Schizosaccharomyces pombe: one gene and its partners. The protein of the gene in region 1 interacts with the protein of each later gene in a pairwise test. Each region holds a gene or a part of one and is shown on either strand. Other genes may lie near its edges. The genes, in order: sec18, tif222, met1 and mat3-Mc.

Region 1 (6,173 bases):
ATCCCAGGAGCCCGTAACTACAATTCTTCGATCAACCGTATTTGTGTCTATTGCGACAATCTCCGCTTTATGCTCTTTCCATTTATGGATGGGCTTAGAGGGCATAGTCAAATCAAATAGTCTCAAAGAACCATCACCACAGCAAGCGTAGACTTGATTTTCACAATTCTGAGACCAGCGCACACCAAACAAAGAATCCTCGACATCATAGCTAGTATTTAACGTTAGATAAATTTCATTTCGTAGGATTTAGAGACTGTTTTCATCATAATAACTAATGGTTAAAAGTGTTTTGTGCAAAAGTCTAATAATGAAGAGCAGTAATCGCACAATTACTTACTGTTGGCAAACTTGAATTCCTTTTGGCGTAACATCATGAATATAAAGACGTCCGCTTCCGCCTAATCCATAATGGGTGACAGCTGCAACAGCGATCTTGTTTTCGACAAGTGGAGAGAATTGAACACTTTCACCTAGCGAATATTGTTAGTAACGATGTACAATTATGCATTCCAAGATATTTATTTTGTTTTGTTTTCTTTTTTTTTTTCCAATAAAAAGGAAGGAAAATTAAAAGGAAACAAAACAAAACAAAACAAAATAAAATAAAATATAAACAAAATAAAGAAAATATTCAGTAATAACAAAATTTCGTATTTCTACATCATTTGAATTTAGTTTAGTTATAGTTCGGTAATATTCGTTCATTTTATTTGTATTTTTCTCAAGCAGTTGTACTATCGCTAGTACTAGTACCATATAATATTTTGTCTTGCTTCGCTTCCCTTTATTTAGCTTACCTTGAAACCCAGGAGTCCTCAATGACAGCATGGGCAAATAAACACAAGCACGTTGCCCTCGAAGAATTGCTCGTTTACAAGAAAAAAATTCCAGTCATGAAACGGAATTATTTCGCAGCTCGGCTTAGATATTTTTCTTATATAGTTTTGCCAATAAGTGTTTCTACTTATGCTCCAAGCAACTTTTGCTTTTTGCCCCGTCTCGTTTCTGCTCTATTCTGCTTGGCTTGGCTTGGCTTTGCTTTGCTCACCAAATTTTGAGAGCGAAGCTTGTTTCCTCAACCCAGCTTATATATATCAAAAAATATATTAAATAACTACACTACCAATTTAGAAAAATGATAAATCATAAGGCGTGAACCAGGAGAGAAATACAATATAATTGGCTCCTTCACAAGCTAGCTTCGATAAGGGTGGGAAAAGCCGAAAGTTTATGAAATTAAGGTCGATTTTCTATATACCATATGATATTCGCCAGACGATTGGTACTTGAAGTAACTTATGTGTCAAAAAGAGCAAGCGTATTGAATCTGAAATCTGAAAATGACCACTTTCTAAGCAGGCCTAGAATATCCGAGTCACTGCCAACATCAGGGGAGGTGGGGATAGCTAAAGTACCTGCGAAACTTGCAAGTGCGCTGCCGCCTTACTCAGTCTTTGCCCCCGTTTCCCTTAGCTTTGTAAGAATGAATTGCGGATAACGTTAGGACAGTGTAGCTCGGGATAACTAGTTTGCCTGTAAAAGAACAAATAATCATTTGTAAGGGACCTTCCTTCCAAGTCATCAACACTCCATCCCATCTTACCTCACTTTCTCCTCAATCAGATTCAAGAAATGGCTGGCTTCACTTGTGACAATAACAGTGACTCAGGTGAGATATCGAATAAAATTCCATTCCCTAATAATCGCGTTTGAACATTCGCGAATCCTAGATTTTGGTCTATTTACCGTTATCATGCCAATTGAAAAATTTGTGACAGTATGACAGAAATCCGTTTCGTTATGTGAAAAAGGTGACATTAGCAAATCAATGGCCGTTTATACGACAGCAAAAACTCGGTACGCTAATCATTGATGAAATGGAAATCAAAATTCAAGACTTTGCCTCAATAACATTCATTAGAAAGGTGTGTAAATTTTTTAAGGAGACGAGGCGCTGAAAATTTTTTTTTCTACTCCTACTATCAAAACTTGCTAACACTTCCTCCAAACACACTCTTTTTTAAGTAACACTTTTTTTTTATTTCTTATTTATTTAATATTTTGAGTGGATGATCACCCGTATTCGGTTAGTAAAGTGAAGCTCAAAAGAATGATGCGAATCTCGGCAATTAGCGTCAAGCGGCAACGTCTATAGCGGTCGTATAGCTAAGCTAAACAAGAAGCGAGATCTTTCCAATACGGATGTCATTAAGCTACCGATTCTTAAAGCGAAGACATTATCACTCATGACACATAAAATTTTTTGACGTTATTATACGTTTAATAATGAATAAAATAAATTTATAAATAAAATAAAATATATAAATATACAAAAGGGGGAGGGGAAATCCCTTCAATAAACGACAACAACAGTCTGCAAGAAGGTTTGTCTTATTGGAAACAGTTTTCCTATCTTAGAAGGCTGCTAAAAAAATAGTCACTTGCATGCTACAATAATTGCACGCGTAAAGAGGCTTTTGCAAGAAGAGAGAGAAAAAAATTTTTTTGCCAAATGTAAATTGGGAAGTAACATGGCTTCACTACATCTCGTCCTAAAATATAACGACATTGGAAATTTATGGCTTAATTATGATTACGCAATCAAACGGTAAACGTATACTTCACTATTCGCTAATCTGTATTTCGTACTCCGTTATATTATGTTTTAGTAGTAGGTGGAAAGCGTTACGTTTACTGAAAACGATTTTCCATTAACAAAGCACTCAACAATGGACTCAAGATGGAAACTTCCATTCATGTCCAATAAAGGGACACCAGAGCAACCTATGAGGAAACCACTAAGTGGCAGTTATTCCCATAACAGTGCTGGTCCTACACCCAATATGAGCCCCTTTGAGCAAAAACCACCGCTGCCTACACATATGGATGTTAGACGCCCTTCAGGTCCTTTTCGGATCGTCAAGGCGACTTCTACCGAAGATGCTTTAACCAATTGTATCATTGTTTCTCCCATGGACTTTAAGCAGCAGTACATTATTGTAGACAACTCTCGTGTGTTCAGCACTAAACCCGTTCCTGGCTTTCCACAGGGTTGTCTTGGCGCTTCCCAGCCCCATCGCGAATGGGCTTCTTGGTCGCTAAATCAGCAGGTTCATGTTGCCGACTATGATCCATATGGTCCTCATGGAGCTCCTTATCTTCATAGTATGACTTTGGAGGTAGACTTTCAAAATAGAAATCGCACCACTAATGAGCCTTTCGACGGTGAAGAGATGGCCAAGTTATTTTGCTCTAGTTATCAGAGCCAAGTTTTTTCTCCGGGCCAGAAAATTGTTTTCGATTTCCGTTCTTACAATATAAAGGCAACCGTCCGTACTATATCTTGTGTCGATCTTTTAATTGGTGAGAATCAAGATGCCGAAAATACTGCAGATACCAGCAAACGTGGTCTCTTGACTTCCCAGACCGAAATCCAATTTTTTAAAGCCGCTCACTCTGCGTTGCGTTTGAAAGCTAGCATGACAAGACCTGCCTCTAATGCCATTCTTCAGCCAGGCTTTAAATTTGAGGACATGGGCATTGGTGGTCTTGACTCAGAGTTCAGTGCTATTTTCCGTCGAGCATTTGCCTCTCGTCTCTTTCCTCCTGGCATGGTTGAAAAGCTGGGTATTAATCATGTTAAGGGTATTCTCTTATATGGCCCTCCAGGTACTGGTAAGACATTAATTGCTCGACAAATTGGTAAAATGCTAAATGCCCGTGAACCGAAAATCGTTAATGGTCCTGAAATTCTAAACAAATACGTCGGTCAAAGTGAAGAAAACGTTCGTAAATTATTCGCCGATGCTGAACGTGAGTATCGCGATCGCGGAGAGGAATCGGGTCTTCATATTATTATCTTCGATGAATTAGATGCCATATGTAAAAAGAGAGGAAGTTCTGGTGGTGATACAGGTGTTGGCGATCAGGTCGTTAATCAGCTTTTGGCTAAGATGGATGGCGTTGATCAACTGAATAATATCCTTGTTATTGGTATGACTAACAGAAAAGACATGATCGATGAAGCTCTTTTGCGTCCAGGTCGTCTTGAGGTTCATATGGAAATTTCACTTCCAGATGAACACGGCCGTTTGCAGATTCTGAAAATCCATACGTCCCGTATGGCTTCAAATGGTATTTTAGAGAATGATGTTGACATGGAAGAGCTAGCATCTCTTACTAAAAACTTTTCTGGTGCTGAAATTGCTGGATTAATCAAGAGTGCTTCAAGTTTTGCTTTTTATCGCCACATCAAGGTGGGAACCACTGCCGCTGTTTCAGGTAATTTGGAAAATATCAAGGTGAATCGTAACGACTTTTTGAATGCTTTAAGTGAGGTAAGACCAGCTTATGGTGTGAGTGAGGAGGAACTCGAAAGCCGTGTGCAAGGTGGCATTATCAATTTTGGTAAACACATTGAAGAAATAATTACCGAAGGAAAATTATTTGTTCAACAAGTTAAAAACTCCGAACGTACACGTTTGGTCAGTGTATTATTGTCAGGCCCTATAGCGTCAGGGAAAACTGCATTGGCTGCCACGATAGCCCTTGGTTCTGAATTTCCATTTGTTAAGCTCGTTTCCGCTGAGTCCATGGTAGGAATGAATGAAAACGCTCGAGTAGCTCATGTCAATCGTGTGTTCGAAGACAGCTACAAAAGTCCTCTTAGCGTCATTGTAGTAGATGAGATTGAACGTATTATTGATTGGGTACCAATCGGACCTCGATTTTCTAACACCTTACTTCAAACACTTATGGTTCTTTTCAAAAAGCAACCCCCCAAGGGTCATCGATTGCTTATTTTAGCAACTACCTCTGAACGTACTATGCTCTCTCGAATGGATATGACCCAATCGTTTGATGCAGAAATAGCAGTTCCTAATGTCTCCAACGTTACTGAACTGGACCGCATCATACAATCAATAGATTCATTTGCAGACAGCAATGTTCGAGCTGATACATTACAACGTTTGCAGAACTTTACTGGTACTGATGCTGTCAATGTCGGAGTAGCCAAGATTCTTATGATAGCCGAAACGGCTAAACAGGATGTAGACGTTGTTTCCTGTTTTGTTGAAGCCATGGCCCGTGCTATTCCTATGGAATAGCAATGACACCTTTTTAATAACTGAGACGTTTTAGTCATGAATATTTTCTCAAGGTTTTTTATATTTTATACCGTTATAGATTATAGTTAATGAATACACCGCAATACTGTATGAATATTAAGTTAAAAGATGTTCGAACCTATATGTAACGTTAAAAAAATTAAATCATCTTGTTAAATGAATGCTTATCAATATAACTTTATAGCCTTTTATAGTCAATTATCCATAAATAATCATTTGAAGCATTGTAAACAATTTAAGCATACTACATTACTCCCATACTGAGAGGCACAATTTACCAATTCGCTATTTCCACTCCACATTGACCCGGTTCATATTCTAAATCTTTAATTTCATCAGTCATAAATAGTAAAGGACATGGAAATTTAAAAATCGTAACATTCAACTCACATACTTAATTCTAAAATGAATATGCCCTCCGAAATACTACTTGGTGCAAGACGCTGGTTTGCTTCAACATCATTTAGTCTAGCAGCTGTATATGATGCTCCACTTAAAAAAGCTATAGGAAACATTAAAAAGTTTTCGATTGGATCATTAGGTTTAACTTATATGATTTCTCCAGTGATGCTTTTACTTGATGCAGGAGGTTTAAGTTTGGGAACGAGAATGTCGATGGTTTTCTTGGGTATGTTTCATCAAGAAATCGGATTACCAAAATTTCCAAAGCAAATTTATTAACATGTTAGCATGTACTACTACTAGTTTGTCGACTGCAATAATTCACTGGGCTGCTAAATCTTATGTTTCGGAGGCAACGTTAAAGGGAAACGTGCTATCTTTAAATACATTTAATATTCTAGGAAAAAAGCGCTTATCCCAATATACTTTAGACAAGCTCAAAATCCCTGATACCAACAATAGTCGTCCATTCGCAAACCTTGAAAGCACTACTGTACCCAAACGATATTTTTACTTGCACCCAGAATTGGCTACGCCAATTTTTAATGCTATACGGCAGGCACAGCAACCTAAGCAAATAAACAAAAACGATTCGAAATAGATATCATAATAACTATATAAGTTTTTTAATATAAAATT
Region 2 (5,025 bases), 3.0 Mb from region 1:
CTTTTTATTTTTTTATAGATTTTGAATCCTGAAGCGTTAAAGTTTGCAGTGAAAGGAGCATTGGCACTGAATTGTGAGGTAGCGAATGTTTGCAAATTCGACAGAAAGCATTACTTTTATCCAGACTTACCTGCGGGATATCAGATTACGCAGAAAGAAATTCCTATAGGAAGAAATGGATTTATACCATTGTCGGCTGGTTTGGACAATGTTCCAGATACTCAAATCCCCATACAACATATTCAACTAGAACAGGTAAGAAACATTGTCAAAACAACTTTCCATATACTGGATTTGAAAAGTATTTTAACAAACTTATATTTAGGATACTGCAAAATCGACGTCTGCTAAAAATCCATCGCGAATCTTACTGGATTATAATCGAGCAGGAACTCCGTTATTGGAAATCGTCACTAAACCTTGCTTTCATGATGTCAATACTGTTTCTGCATTCTTGTTTAAATTGCAATCCATCGTTCGCTTCGCTGGAATATCTGAGGCGTTGATGGAAAATGGAGGGATGAGATGTGATGTTAATGTCTCAATCGCGCCAGTCATCTCTTCAGAAAATCTAAATGAACTTCATTTTAAAAACAACGGAGTGATATCAGTAGAGAAATCCATATCCCATTTCCCCCAATTAGGTACTCAGTTGGCTCGTGTTGAATTAAAAAATTTGTCAAATGTACGAAATGTAGTAAATTCAATTCGCCATGAAGTGGACCGACAAGTCTCTTTGGCAAATATGGGTGTTTCTTGGCCCTCAGAAACGAGGGGATTCGACGATATCACTGGTAAAACATTTCCTCTTCGTAATAAGACAACCTCCGACGATTATCTATTTCTTCCTGAAACCGATATCCCCCCAATCATACTTTCTCGGAGTTATGTGAATTCTGTCTTAAAATCATTACCTGCTCTGCCTGACGAACTTTTCCAAAAGCTTACAACGGGTTCTCATGCCATTAGTCATAAAGAGGCCCGTACATTATTAAGTGTGAAGGAATACTATCACTACTACAGAAATGCGTACCACCATATCGATTCTATAAGCCATGTAAATCAATCTTTGAAAGAGGATGCTTTACGTACCCTTCCATACTGGATCACTGTGGAACTAGTAGGAAAAGTTCGTGAAATTGACCCTTCCCCTAACATCAATATCGTTCCTCCTTTGCAATTGGCTGACATTGTACTTCTTGTTTCCAAGAAGAAACTTACAGCTGCATCTGCTAAACTCTTCCTTCGTTCATTGATAAAATCACCTTCATCGAAACCTATATCTACTCTCATCCAAGAAAAAAATTTTGGTACCATTGGCGATTCCGAGAAAATAAAAGCTTGTGTAGAAAGTGTTCTTAGTAAACATTCAAAACAATTTGAAGAGTTGAAAAATGGTAAAACTTCCCTTATAAAGTGGTTTGTTGGCCTTACGATGAGAGAGCTTCGAGGACAAGCAAGTCCCAAAGACATTGAGATGGAAGTGCAAAGCAGTTTACGAAGGGAAAAGTAATCAAATTGGTTTGTATATTAGTGGCCCTAGTTTTTTTAATTACTGCATATTTCAAATCATTAGACAATGAAAGGAAACTCGTTAAAATTCATAGTCCATTTACTTTAATTTCAAAGTTTTATTTTGCTGAGTTAATTGCCTGTATTACTTGCAACAGAAACCCACAGTTAAAAAAATTCAATCTAATGTAACCCATGTTATTTATTCCAAAATTTTAATATTTACCTAAACACGTGTAAAGAAATTTGATAAACTTGATTTAATAGGTAATCAATTTTCCAAGAGAAAATAGAATGCAAACTCTTTAAAGAATTGTATCGCTTGCATCATAAGTATCATTCATAATACGATAAAGGTAGGAAGGAGGATAGCCACCCAAATTGGTAATAAACAGATCTACTAGGTCTGGTGGGATGTAATCATAGTAAGGGTTTAAAATTTCAGCGCGGCTTATTAGATCACCTTCATTAAAGGACATAATTTTATCAGGTGAAGACAGTTGGATAATGGATTCTAAGTCATAAGGGTAAACAGGGCTAAGCTTATAAATACCCGAACACACCACTACGGGAGTAGCATGGTGCCTGGCAGCCTGAGCAACTAATTGGGCTCCACTATAGGTTACCAATCCTCCGTTACCCAAGATTGCATGCGTACCAAGTATAACTTTATTCACGCGTGACATGATTGCAAAAATCGTAGCATCAGATATAACAGTTGTATCAATACCAGCCTGAGCTAATCGCTTTGCCATGGCATGAGAACCTTTTTGGTTATTGGGAAATCCTTCTGCAACAATCACTGAAAATTTGCGTTTCTTTGCGGCAAAACGGAGAAAAGCTTCAACAGTTTTTGAGCAACCCTGAGTTAAAATAATTTCACTAAAAAGGTTAGCTAACTGATAAGATGTTTAGCATGACACCATACTTTGAATGCAAATGGTCCATTGATTGAACTTCAATATCAGTATTAATCTTGTCCAACTCATCGATTACATCTTGGATGCCAGATATGATCACAGCGCGCATATCCATGCCACCGGTGACCCTACTGTCACCGACGGTTTTACTATGTGTGGGAGACTCAAGAGTAGGACGACCTAATAAATTAAGCATAGAAGAGTACATCTGAACTGAAACAGGTTCGTGACTTTGAACCAATTTTTCGTTAGAGGGAATGTCTCTTTTTTGAGAAGGGCTAGAAGAGTTCGATGAAGAAACGATTAACTTCTCATTTTCATCAGCAGTCTTTAATAATTCTTGATATTCTTCGCGGATTAAGCGTAAAATTCTTCTAATAATATTTCCACAAGAAAATTCTTCACGGTTTAGCATGTAACACAATAAAAGAATATGATTCAAAATACATACCAGTAGGTTGAGCCTTGACAAGAGTAGATCCAACAGCACGGACTGTATCAATTAATTGATCAACTGTTGACCAGCGAGTTTGAGAAATCACTTGTCTCATTACCAGCGCCGTTTCAACGGCAACTGCAAAGGGGCCTTGTACCTTTCTTGACTTTAAGTCTGCTATCAAGCTACTTACAGCCGGATAGGTATGTTCAACATTAATAGTTGACATTTTCAGGCGATGGGAAACGACAAGTAGTGTTTACATGTTAATAACGAACAAATACGAACGCTGTAAAAATGTAATAACTTGTTTACAGTAATTAAAACATCGTTAAAGCATATACCGAAGTTGACGCCGCAATAAAGGAACGGGGATAGTGAACCAAAACAAAATGTAAGGTAAAATCAGTTGGTAAAGAGCCAGGCTTGCTTGGGAAAATTTGGGAAATGGATTTGTTAGTCTAAGCTTGATTCGGTGTGTAATCTATTGAAGATAAGGTAAAAATCTATATCTTATAAAATGTTAAAGCCCCTTTGCGTTGTCATCGGTACTACAGGAGCTGGTAAGTCGGATTTAGCAGTTCAGCTGGCGAAACGGTTTGGAAGCCAAGTCATTAATGCTGACTCGATGCAAATTTATCGGGGATTTGATACTATAACCAATAAAATTACTGTGGAAGAGCAAGAGAATGTTCATCATCGCTTGATGTCCTTCTTGAACTTTGACAAAGAATACAGTGTTCCCGAGTTTGAACGAGATGCCTCCCGCGTAATTGACGAGATTCACAGTCAAGGAAAGATACCTATTGTGGTTGGAGGGACTCATTATTATTTGCAGTCCCTTTTGTTTGAAGATACTACTTTGTCGGCTATTGATAAATTGACGAACGATTCATCACCTAGTAAGCCACCCCATCCGGACTCTCATATCTTGGATGATGATCCATCTGCTATGCTTTCGTATTTAAAAAAGATAGATCCCGTGATGGCTGAGCAATGGCATCCTCGGGATACTCGTAAAATTCGAAGAAGCCTAGAGATATATTTTCACACCGGTCGACCGCCATCTGAAATTTATTCTGAGCAAAAAATGAAGTCAAGTGGCTCTAAACTTCGATACAAATCTCTAATATTTTGGGCGTTCGCAGATTCTTTAGTCTTAATGCCGCGACTTGATAAACGTGTTGACAAAATGCTAAGCCATGGATTGGTTGATGAAATAAAAAGCATGAAGAGTCTTGCTGAAAGTGAAAAATTTTCTCCTGATTTCACCCGTGGGATTTGGCAATGTATTGGATTTAAAGAATTCATGCCATGGTTTGAAGCGCCTTCGGATATAGTCTTTAATGATTGTTTAGAACGAATGAAGGTTTCTACTAGACAGTATGCAAAATCTCAGAAGAAATGGATCCAAAGTCGATTCCTCCCGATGTGTTTGGCTCAACAAGATTTATCCCCTTCTTCAATTCTATTTTCCACCACAAACACTACGGACTTGAACAATTGGGAAGAGCAAGTTGAAAAGGCTTGTAGAGTATTTCAATATTTTTTTTATAATGGCGATGCCATTGCTCCATCTGCTGATGATCAGCACGCTTTCGAAAAAGCCAGAGATTATCTCTCCATAATGAACGGTCGCCAATCTCAGAAAAAGAAGTTCGTTTGCGAGGAATGTTTAGACAAGCGGGGTGATCCATTCACTGTAATAGGAGAAGATGCGTTCAATGTCCATATTAAAAGTAGGAAGCATAAAACCACGGTGCGACGTAAAAAAGAAAGAGCTGAGCGTCAAATTCGTTTAAAAAACATTGGAATTTTAAAATGAAGTCCATATTGTATTTATTATTATATTTTTGGTCATGTTCATAATATAAGTCATAAAAAGCTATGGAGAATGGTCATTATTGAAGTATTCAAGATGGATGCACAGTGTTTATTTATCCAGATTTAGAGCGTTAACTTGTAAGCTAATAGTGAAATTTATTATTATATACGCATGCTACGAACTAGTCTGAATAATCATGCTTGAAACCTTCAAGAATGGAGAGACGACAGAGGATTCCATAGCAAAGATTTTACTTCTTTAGATTAATACTACAAGGGTAATGCTCGTGAATTTTCAGTTTCTCTGTGACTAAGTTATAAACAATTTAACAC
Region 3 (5,646 bases), on another chromosome or scaffold:
AATTTTTCCACGTCTACGTTTTCGCATTTCTATGAGGATATGTTAAGAATTTAGGCATGCATCTAAACCGAACCATTCAACACAGTGCCTTCAACAAAAATCGCTTTCATTTACATGAATTTCAAAGTATGTAAAAAAAAAAAAAAGTTAAAGCACATAGTAAAGGAATCCTTTTTGATATTTGATAAATCCTTGTTTCAAAGTATTACGCTCGAATAATAAAAAAAATTGAAAAAAAAAGGCAACTAAAGAGACAGTTTCGGTAAAATCCGTCCATTAGCTCCAAATTCCATGTATATTAATTAAAAAAAAAATTAATTACTTTTTTCATTCGTAAGTTATCACCCGTTAATCCATAGAGCCAAAGTCATGTCAATAGAAGAAACAAAAACGTCTATCAAGTGTGATGTTTAATGATTCGAGTAGCTGCGTCCTTAGCAACTTTTGGACGATTAGAAGAAGAAGAGGAAATAGCGGCGTTGGACGTATTTACCGCTTCTGTTTTGGGATTCACATTTTTTTCAGCTTGCTGGATTTTGCTAATGTAATTTTTAACACGCTGCAATTCTTGCATTACGGGTCGCTCACTAGCGTCTATTCCATTTAACTTATAAAAAGAATAGAGAGTAGAATTAATGGCATAGGACATGGTGATATATAACTTTGCTTGTTCCAATTCGGATTTTCCTTCAGCAAGTTCAAAAATTGATTCAGCATCCTTCAATGGTTTAAGAACATCTTCCACGTTATCTAATTGCTTATTTAATCTTTCAAACAGCTCAGAATACTCTGGGTCCATGTTTAACAGACAGAGAGACAGGCTGTGGATATATGCGAATTCTACCTTCTGTCCTCAATTCCAAAATGTAGAAAAACGTCGAAAGCAGGTATGTAACACAATATACCGTGCCCTTGGCTAATTTATCCTCAAATTTTTTGTATATCAGCTACGCAGTTTGGTATCTGCTTTAACAATACATTGAATTGCGATGAGTTTCTCATTCGTCCTATTATTATTGCAATACGCAGGTGATATAAGTAGCAACTGAGTGTAGGTATTGTACTATCAAGTTGTATTGTTATTTATTGCAAATACAACTTATAATTGTGTAAGGAATGAGGTTTAGCAGTAACTCTATTTACGTTGTTTAGATGATTTGGATTTTAATAGATTATTGTTAAAATTAATATCAACATCGTATCATCTGCGGTGCGATATGTAAATGGAACATGTGAACATATAGTGACGTGTGACGCAATACAGTATAGCATAGTATATTGTTGTGTTGTTGACAATTTGAACTTTAGTTTACCATGTTTAACGGAATATTAAAAATACGATGTAACTCACTATTCGCTTAAAAGTTAGTTCTAATTTTTCAAGGCTACACTTGTTCGCTTGACTCAAAAAGTCGATTCGCCTCTTGAAATATCTTTAGAAAAAAAGAAAAGAAAACTCGCCGTCAACAGAGAGTTCACCCATGCATGAAGAAAATGTAAAGTTATGAATACGGAAAATATGCGTTTAGCGCTTACAAAAATTCGTTAACGTTAAGGCCTATGTGAGCAACATTATCACTAAACATAATATATATTAACATCTCTGATTTGGCTAGGAGGAAGTATGACATTTACAAGTGGGCCATTTTTTTATTGTGGTTTGTTATTTATATGAGGATTCAGATGTTTGCATTCATACTTAAGTAACGCAGTTCGAAAGCATTTTCTTTTTTTGTGAATATCAAAGCGTACTTCCTTAAAACTTTTTACTCATTATCTTACTAAGCCAAATTTTCCCCAAAGCTAGAGGAAAGCTATCATGCAAGTTAACTTGTTAATTAGCAAAAACTACAGTGACTAAGGGACTCGTCATGTACTAACTAGCAAGGTTATTTTTGTACTATATCGTGCAATAACGATGCCTTGATAGAAATATTTTATGAGCTCTACCGCTGGTACTTTACCTGGTTTAAAGAAGTATGGTTATTGGTTGATTACCGTATTCCGCAAAAAAATTTTAACGATCAATCATTTTTGCAGCAAATTGCGCCATCATTTGGTGATTGATGTATGCAGTCATATAAAGTGTAGGCAAGACCTCAAACGCTCATCAAGCGAAAAGAACAAGGAAGGAGGTCGGATAACGGGTTGTTGTAATACGTAAAGAGGATTTAAAGCGATATTCGGAAGTACAAAATTTATTTATTGTTTTCATTATCGTTGAAAATCTTTATTCAATTTACCGAGGTTTAACGACCACTGCACAATTGTCTTTCTCTACAAGTTAATCAATCAGTTTAATAGTGTTGCAATCAATTGCTCGATTGCTTCGTAGAAAGAATTAAAATTTGTAACTTAAGCTAAAGGCTAAATTGTTGGTTTATGAGATATTTCTTTCCTTTCTTTCCCGCATTTTTGCGTAGAACAACAAAGTCTGGTTTTTGCAGTACTTCAGCCAGCAGCTCTTCTTCTCCACCAAGACAATCCAAAACGAAGTGACTAAAATTGTGAAAAATTGAAGTGAAAATATATATATTGGAAAATAAGATTGACGCAATATTTGGAGATTAAAAAAAAATTTTGGGCAAAAACCTATTCTCTACCAAGTACACCTGAGTTAACCTATTAGAAACTACTACAATGATTGTTTCCTGGTCCTTGAAAGACGCCGTTGTTGTAGTCGTTGGTTCAGGAAAAAATGCTTACCGACGGGTGAATTTATGTTTAAGTGAAAATTCTTCTAAAATTTTTTGGTTTTGTCGCAGCTCCGCTGATGGTGGATTTGACGTTGGTCATCTTCAGCTTGACGCAAAAAAATCGGATGCTATTGAAATTCTTCCCATTTCTGAATTTGATCCCGTTCGTTCATTAACGACGCTGGGAAAGGAGGAGACAGATTTTTTGGTGGATGCTGTTTTCGTGTCAGAGTCCAACCACCATGAAAAGGAAATTTTACATCGTACGTGCAAAAGGTACCGAATCCCATTAAACATCATTGATAATCCTTCTTTGTGCTCCTTTACTCTACCAGCTACGTGGTCAGAACCACCTCTTCAAATTTCTTTAAGTACTTCATCAAATGGTTGTCGTTTAGCTCAAAGGCTGTTGAGACACGTGGTGAGTAGCCTTCCTTCCGGTATGCCAGAAGCCATTGAGCGTTTTGGCCGAGTGCGAGCGATCACTAAAACTCCAGAAAAAAAACAGTGGATCAATCATGTTAGTGATTTTTGGCCCCTCGAGAAGTTGGTTCGGATGACAGAGGACGATCTTCTTGCCATAGTTTCTGACAACTTCTCTCTTCCACTCTCATCAAGCCAATCTTCTTCACTTGCCAACTCCTATGAAAGTTTATCAACCACCTTGGACAAGCCTTCATTGACGCTTGACCCTGAGGCTTTTCCTACTCATAAGCGAGGTTCAATAGCTTTAATTGGAAGTGGACCTGGCTCTCCTGATTTACTTACTGTTGCTGCCAGAAAGGCTATAATGAAAGCCGATTATGTACTAGCCGACAAGCTGGTACCAGAAGCGGTATTACAGTTAATTCCAAGGCATACTCCACTATTTATTGCTAGAAAATTTCCTGGAAATGCGGATAAGGCACAAGATGAACTTCACCAGGTTGCTTTTGATGCTTTATCTAGAGGTGATTATGTTGTCCGTTTGAAGCAAGGTGATCCTTATATTTATGGGCGAGGCGGTGAAGAGTATCTATTCTTTACACAACACGGTTATGTACCAACGGTTATTCCTGGCATCAGTAGTGCTTTGATGGCCCCTATCTCTGCTGGTATTCCCGTTACACATCGTGGAGTGGCCGATCAATTTCTTGTGTGTACTGGAACTGGTCAAAAGGGTTCGATGCCTAAAATACCTTCTTTTGTCCCTACACAGACCACAGTTTTCCTAATGGCTTTACACCGACTAGAAATTCTTGTGCAAGCACTAATTGAAAGCGGTTGGCCTAGAGTGTTACCGGTTTGTATAGCTGAGCGCGTCTCTTGCCCTGATCAAAGGTTCATTTTCTCTACTTTGGAAGACGTTGTGGAAGAATACAACAAGTACGAGTCTCTCCCCCCTGGTTTGCTGATTACTGGATACAGTTGTAATACCCTTCGCAACACCGCGTAACTATCTATATGAATTATTTTCCCTTTATTATATGTAGTAGGTTCGTCTTTAATCTTCCTTTAGCAAGTCTTTTACTGTTTTCGACCTCAATGTTCATGTTCTTAGGTTGTTTTGGATAATATGCGGTCAGTTTAATCTTCGTTGTTTCTTCTTAAAATATTTATTCATGGTTTAATTTTTGGTTTGTACTTGTTCAGGGGCCAGTTCATTATTTACTCTGTTTGTATACAGCAGTTCTTTTATTTTTAGTATGATTTTAATTTAAAACAATTCTAATGGTCAGTGGAAAGATATTTTGGCTTGATATTTGTGTACTATACTCATCTGTATTACTAGCAACTGCTAAATAAAGATACACAATCATAACCTGTTATTTTAAATGTAAGGATAGATGAACAAATAGATAGAATCAACATATCAGTTTTGTATTAGAACATTTTGATACACGTTTCATGATTCATTTATCCAATATAGTTTTAGTAGAATGATATTCATTTTAGTAGATAATCTAAAAAAGCAAATATTAAACTGCATCAGCCGGGAGTCGAACCCGGAGCTAATGCTTGGAAGGCATTGATGTTACCGCTACACCACTGATGCATTTATTATTTAGAGGTTAAAGAATATGTTATATATTGTTACAAAAGCAGTGTCTTAAGAATGTGTATAATTCTGAAGAAATTTTTTGTTGTTTTGAATAATAAGGAATATTTGGTTTATTGATTTACTGGTTCTATTTGTGAATCGGCTTTTGCTCAAAATACCGAATCTATTTTTTGGATATTTTAAAAAAATCAGCAAACATGCACCAAATGCTTAAATCTCTTCAACAATAATGTTTACAACTCGATAGGAAGTGATTACTCAATACTGCAAACCCTTCTTATAAATTTCTTTTATAAATACCTTTTGTATGAATTAAATCAGTACTCACTTCTATGCTAAATACTGAATATTCTCCATATTAAAATATTCTCAATCATTTACAATTCATGCCAAACCCCAATAGGTTTCTAAATTTTTTATTTATAAAAAAGAAAGGAGATACAAAAACTCTAGGATCTCAGGAAGATAGTTTCAATTTCAGGTTTTTATCATCCATAAAAGTTTTATAATTTTTCAATAGAATAAATACAATCCCAAGCTCATCAAACTAAAAGTTAAGACGAGCATTAACAATACATGCCCAATTTTCCAATAAAAACAAAAACAGTAGTTTTTTACCCCATGCTTAATCAGTATCACTATAAACATCTTCTTCAAGCTTACATCCCCATAAATTATCTTCCAAATCCGATAGTTCATCATCCTCTTCTAAAAATAATGGTAGAGCAGGCACTCCTTCAGCAAGAGCATGACTTCGTGGGTTCTCTACATACTTGGAAATTTTCAAATATTTTTCAGAATCAGTTCCTTCATACAAACTAATTGCTTTAGTCCCCTTTTTTGCAAAAATACTGGCTCTCTCAAAATCACCGTGGATGACACATAATCGGAAGGCATCCAGAAGTGCAA
Region 4 (4,083 bases), on another chromosome or scaffold:
CAAAACAAAGAAGTTTGGTTTGTAAATCCGTAAAAATTGCATTGGTATGTGTTGATCGTGAGTTTGGGGTTTGCCGAGAAACTCAATTCTCTCGACAAATAAATGTGAATTTGAGCAAAGGCTACAAAGTTTCTGTAAGCATTCTTCGATAAGTCACTTAGACGGTTCGTACTGGTGCCCAGGACCCCAAACCATCAATTGACTTGTCCCTGCTTTAGAAGTGTCAGGGTCATCGCCATTACGTCTTTACCTACTCATATTTTTAGCAATTATTCCAATTCATCTTAAAAATTTCAGCCAACATTATCTAGTCAGAAATCATATAGAAGTAATATGTTTTATATTCGCATATACATTTGTATAACTCTTGACTTTTTTTAATAAGCAACGTTGCGAAAATAAGTATAAATTCTTTAGCTAGTAGATCAAAAAATTGGATTGTTTTCATATGCTTCCATCTATATTCTATTATTTAAGAATGCAGATGAATTCATCATTACCATGTTAATGTAAAAGAGCTGGCCACCATCTTATAACCTTTTCTTTAAAATTTTTATAAGTATAATAGTCGCTCAGGAAAAAGGAAGAACGGCAAATAATAGAAAAAGGTGGAATTTCTTAAATTTGTAATTAAAGTAATTTCTATTCTTTTGTATGAAAAATCAAATCACCGCTTTTGAGATTAATCGTTTACATCTGGTTTTTTAAGAAACTGATTATAAATCCAATCGTTAAACTTAAAAGATCTTTGCTTTTAGAAAAAGCGCAAATACAATTTTATGAGAACCCGACGATACAATATATAGACTATGGGTTGATTATAAAAAGCGGAAGGAAGTATTGATCTACATAACTTACTATGTCATTACCGTTGTGTAAAAGTAGGCAAAAGTTTAAAATGGAAGCAAAGCTGGACAATAAGTGTTGATGCGGTATTTTGGAAATAGAAAAACAAAATTATAATTCAGAACAACCTTCTCATAAAAATCTGTTCTACTCATACCAATCCATTAAAAAGCCTAAAAAATACCTAGACAAATGACCAAGATACGCTACTAACTTTATAATAATATTTCGCAAGCCGTCTATTGACTTTCTCACTTTCAATTTCACACAACATTTAAATACAAATGTACATTTACAAATATAGTAATATGCTGGTATGGACATAGCAATTTAGCACTATATTAGCCTTTATTTAACAAAAATCACTCTTTAAATAAACAGTTCTAATAAAAAATTCAATTAAACCCATTCAAAAACTAACTTTACAGTACATGAATAAAATCTTAAGATTATCAAAAAAACTTTCAAACATGTTCAAAGTTTACAACCATGTAGGCATCGAGAAAGCTGACAAACAAAAATGAATACATCACGTTCACTTCCCAATAGTTATATAGTTATACATATTTCTTAACAATTTAACCCTCTTAGCTTTCTACATTTCCAAACATCATATTAAACCTACTCGAATCCATATGACTACAACTACCTTCTAAAAGTTTCAAAACAGTTTGAAAAGTTTCACCAAGGCAAACAATTATCTTTTGAAATACAACATTTCAATATGTCAAATCCTCAAAAACATACAGCAAAAAAATGCCAACATGATTAAAATAAAATTTTAAAATACCCAAAAAAAATCAACCAGTAGGACATTTTTATAGTTCCCAAATACGCATCTCCACTTAAAAGAATAAAAGGAATTTATATTCCAACCTAAACTCAGCAAAAAAATTCATTATGATATAAAACATAAAAACAAAAACAATCACCAAAAATTATAAAGAAAACCAAATCTATGATTGCAAAATTCTAAAAAAGACATAAATCGCAATAAAAAGAACAAACTAATTAACTAATAATAATAATAATAATAATAAAACAAAAAAGGAAGAACTAACAACATTTTCAATTCCTCAACATAAATGAATTCCATTTAAACCACAATTATTTCATAAATAATCAAAAAAATATATATATGAATACCACATTAACAAGTAGGAAAACAAATAACATGTTCCTTCGCCTACGTAAGTTTACAAACCGGACAAAATTATAAACTAAATAAAACTAAAAAAAAAAAAGTACACAATTATAAGGACCCATACAACAACGGATTACTAAAAACAGCAGTTTAAATGTTTTAGTTCTGCCGCGCGCGCACCTTAAACAGGTGCTTGCTTGGCAGCCTCGTAGGCTTTTAAAAGTTATTTTTCTGTATGCATATGCATATGCATTTGTATAGCATACAACCTTTAATTTAATAGCCATACAACCTAATAGCCAGAAACGCCTTCCCAATTTACTGAACCCTGCTTATATGTAGTTTATAATTGTTGTGTCTTTTTTTTACGTTTAAGTTGTAATTTGATGTTAGAATTTATTACAATGGATGCAAGTTTTAACTCAATTTGATCACATAGGATTTGAATTGTAAAAAGGTCTTCTGCTGACATTATTAGTATGTATTGTGCTTTAGATTAAATTATTGTGTTTTAGTGTATTTTGTTCCTTTGTTTTTGGGTTTCTTTGTTCTGTAAGTAGTTAAATACCCTCCACACTCTACACCTACCTTGCACTCACAACTACAATGGACTCACACCAAGAATTATCAGCGGGTTCCCCTATTTCCTACGACTTTTTAGATCCAGACTGGTGTTTTAAAAGATACCTTACAAAGGATGCTCTTCATTCAATTGAAACTGGCAAAGGTGCTGCTTACTTTGTTCCTGATGGCTTTACTCCTATACTCATTCCTAACTCACAAAGCTACCTGTTGGATGGGAATTCTGCACAACTGCCAAGACCTCAACCAATATCCTTCACATTGGATCAATGTAAAGTTCCCGGCTATATTTTGAAGAGTTTACGGAAAGACACTACGTCTACTGAACGTACTCCGAGACCCCCTAATGCTTTTATATTATACAGGAAGGAAAAACATGCTACATTATTAAAGTCTAACCCTTCCATCAATAATTCACAAGTTTCCAAGCTGGTTGGAGAGATGTGGAGAAACGAATCAAAGGAAGTACGTATGCGATATTTTAAGATGTCTGAGTTTTATAAAGCACAACATCAGAAAATGTACCCTGGTTATAAGTACCAGCCTAGAAAGAATAAAGTTAAAAGATAATAATGGTAATATTTATGGTATTTAATAAAGAATTTTGAAATTGATTTAAATATGCTTCTTAGAGTTACATTCACTGAAGATTATAATGTAATATTTTGTGTACCCCATTTGCGTTGAGTTATTCTATAGTAATTATTGTGTGTTCTATTAACGATGTATTGCGATTTATATCTGTTATGCTAACATAACGTAGTTCTAAGCACTGTAATGCCATACTGTTTTAGAGGGTGATGCTTCCTAAAATCTCCTTACATAAAGTAATACATGGATTTTACTGCCCTGATTCTATCGAAATATGCTGTTTTTTTTATTCGTTTTTATTTATTTTCAATAATTTTTTTGTAATATAAATGTATAGTCTTTCTCCTTTGTTTTCTCTCGTTCGTTTCCATGTTATCCAAATATGTTTGTTTGGCCGATAGTCTGTCTTTTGGGAAAAAATGCGCATTTTGTGTTTTTAAAAGCAGTTTAGAATAGTTTTAAACAAAAAAAGCAATCGTTTTGCCAACATAACGATATCATCATTTAGCAACAACTATAATGTTCAAATTATAACCTGATATTGAGTATATAGTAAATTAATAAATTAGAATTGTTTTACCTATTAAACGTGATCATTTGTACAGTTTTTCTCAACACATTCACTACAAATATTTCACTGACATCAATCGCTAGGCGCTTTAATATAATTTTTTTGAAAACTGGAAACATATTTTTAAGTTAAAATAAAATAACTTGCTCAAAAATATCTAACAGTAGTTGGCAAATAAATAAATAAAAGTTCTTCTTACCCGGATAGACATTTTGATGGAATTATCAGTTACCTTAAAATGCGTTAACCAAATTAACGTCAAACTAGTATAATACATCGCAATAACCATTTAACATATTTCTTCTAGGTAGTAATGAATTACTTCAGTTGACAAAATTTGTGCACTGTG

Evidence for each region.
Region 2: the proteins of sec18 (region 1) and tif222 interact in a two-hybrid assay, tested with the Schizosaccharomyces pombe proteins (one large-scale study listed by BioGRID).
Region 3: the proteins of sec18 (region 1) and met1 interact in a two-hybrid assay, tested with the Schizosaccharomyces pombe proteins (one large-scale study listed by BioGRID).
Region 4: the proteins of sec18 (region 1) and mat3-Mc interact in a two-hybrid assay, tested with the Schizosaccharomyces pombe proteins (one large-scale study listed by BioGRID).

What each region holds. Positions count from the first base shown.
Region 1 is NC_003424.3:4,717,676-4,723,848, reverse strand, and holds sec18 (secretory pathway protein Sec18), read left to right. Parts: upstream 1-2,713; 5' UTR 2,714-2,732; coding exon 2,733-5,111; 3' UTR 5,112-5,336; downstream 5,337-6,173. Other genes in the region: pex7 (peroxin-7), read right to left, coding at 1-211, 341-473, 801-831; SPOM_SPAC1834.13 (uncharacterized protein), read left to right, coding at 1,265-1,501; SPOM_SPAC1834.10C (uncharacterized protein), read left to right, coding at 5,538-5,760, 5,822-6,135. UniProt on the Schizosaccharomyces pombe protein: Required for vesicle-mediated transport. Catalyzes the fusion of transport vesicles within the Golgi cisternae. Is also required for transport from the endoplasmic reticulum to the Golgi stack.
Region 2 is NC_003424.3:1,670,559-1,675,583, forward strand, and holds tif222 (translation initiation factor eIF2B beta subunit), read right to left. Parts: upstream 3,119-5,025; 5' UTR 3,098-3,118; coding exon 2,884-3,097; intron 2,832-2,883; coding exon 2,441-2,831; exon of another isoform or gene 2,423-2,440; intron 2,395-2,422; coding exon 1,818-2,394; 3' UTR 1,639-1,817; downstream 1-1,638. Other genes in the region: glutamyl-tRNA amidotransferase beta subunit Gta2, read left to right, coding at 19-255, 326-1,513; tit1 (tRNA isopentenyltransferase), read left to right, coding at 3,389-4,693. UniProt on the Schizosaccharomyces pombe protein: Acts as a component of the translation initiation factor 2B (eIF2B) complex, which catalyzes the exchange of GDP for GTP on the eukaryotic initiation factor 2 (eIF2) complex gamma subunit.
Region 3 is NC_003421.2:2,036,437-2,042,082, reverse strand, and holds met1 (uroporphyrin methyltransferase), read left to right. Parts: upstream 1-2,112; 5' UTR 2,113-2,640; coding exon 2,641-4,131; 3' UTR 4,132-4,413; downstream 4,414-5,646. Other genes in the region: Cut3-interacting exosome subunit Cti1, read right to left, coding at 398-799; histone lysine methyltransferase Set5, read right to left, coding at 5,363-5,646.
Region 4 is NC_003423.3:2,130,253-2,134,335, forward strand, and holds mat3-Mc (mating type M-specific HMG-box DNA-binding transcription factor Mc at silenced MAT3 locus), read left to right. Parts: upstream 1-2,596; coding exon 2,597-3,142; downstream 3,143-4,083. Other genes in the region: mat3-Mi (mating type M-specific polypeptide Mi at silenced MAT3 locus), read right to left, coding at 2,334-2,462. UniProt on the Schizosaccharomyces pombe protein: Mating type proteins are sequence specific DNA-binding proteins that act as master switches in yeast differentiation by controlling gene expression in a cell type-specific fashion. Silenced copy of mat-Mc at mat3-M.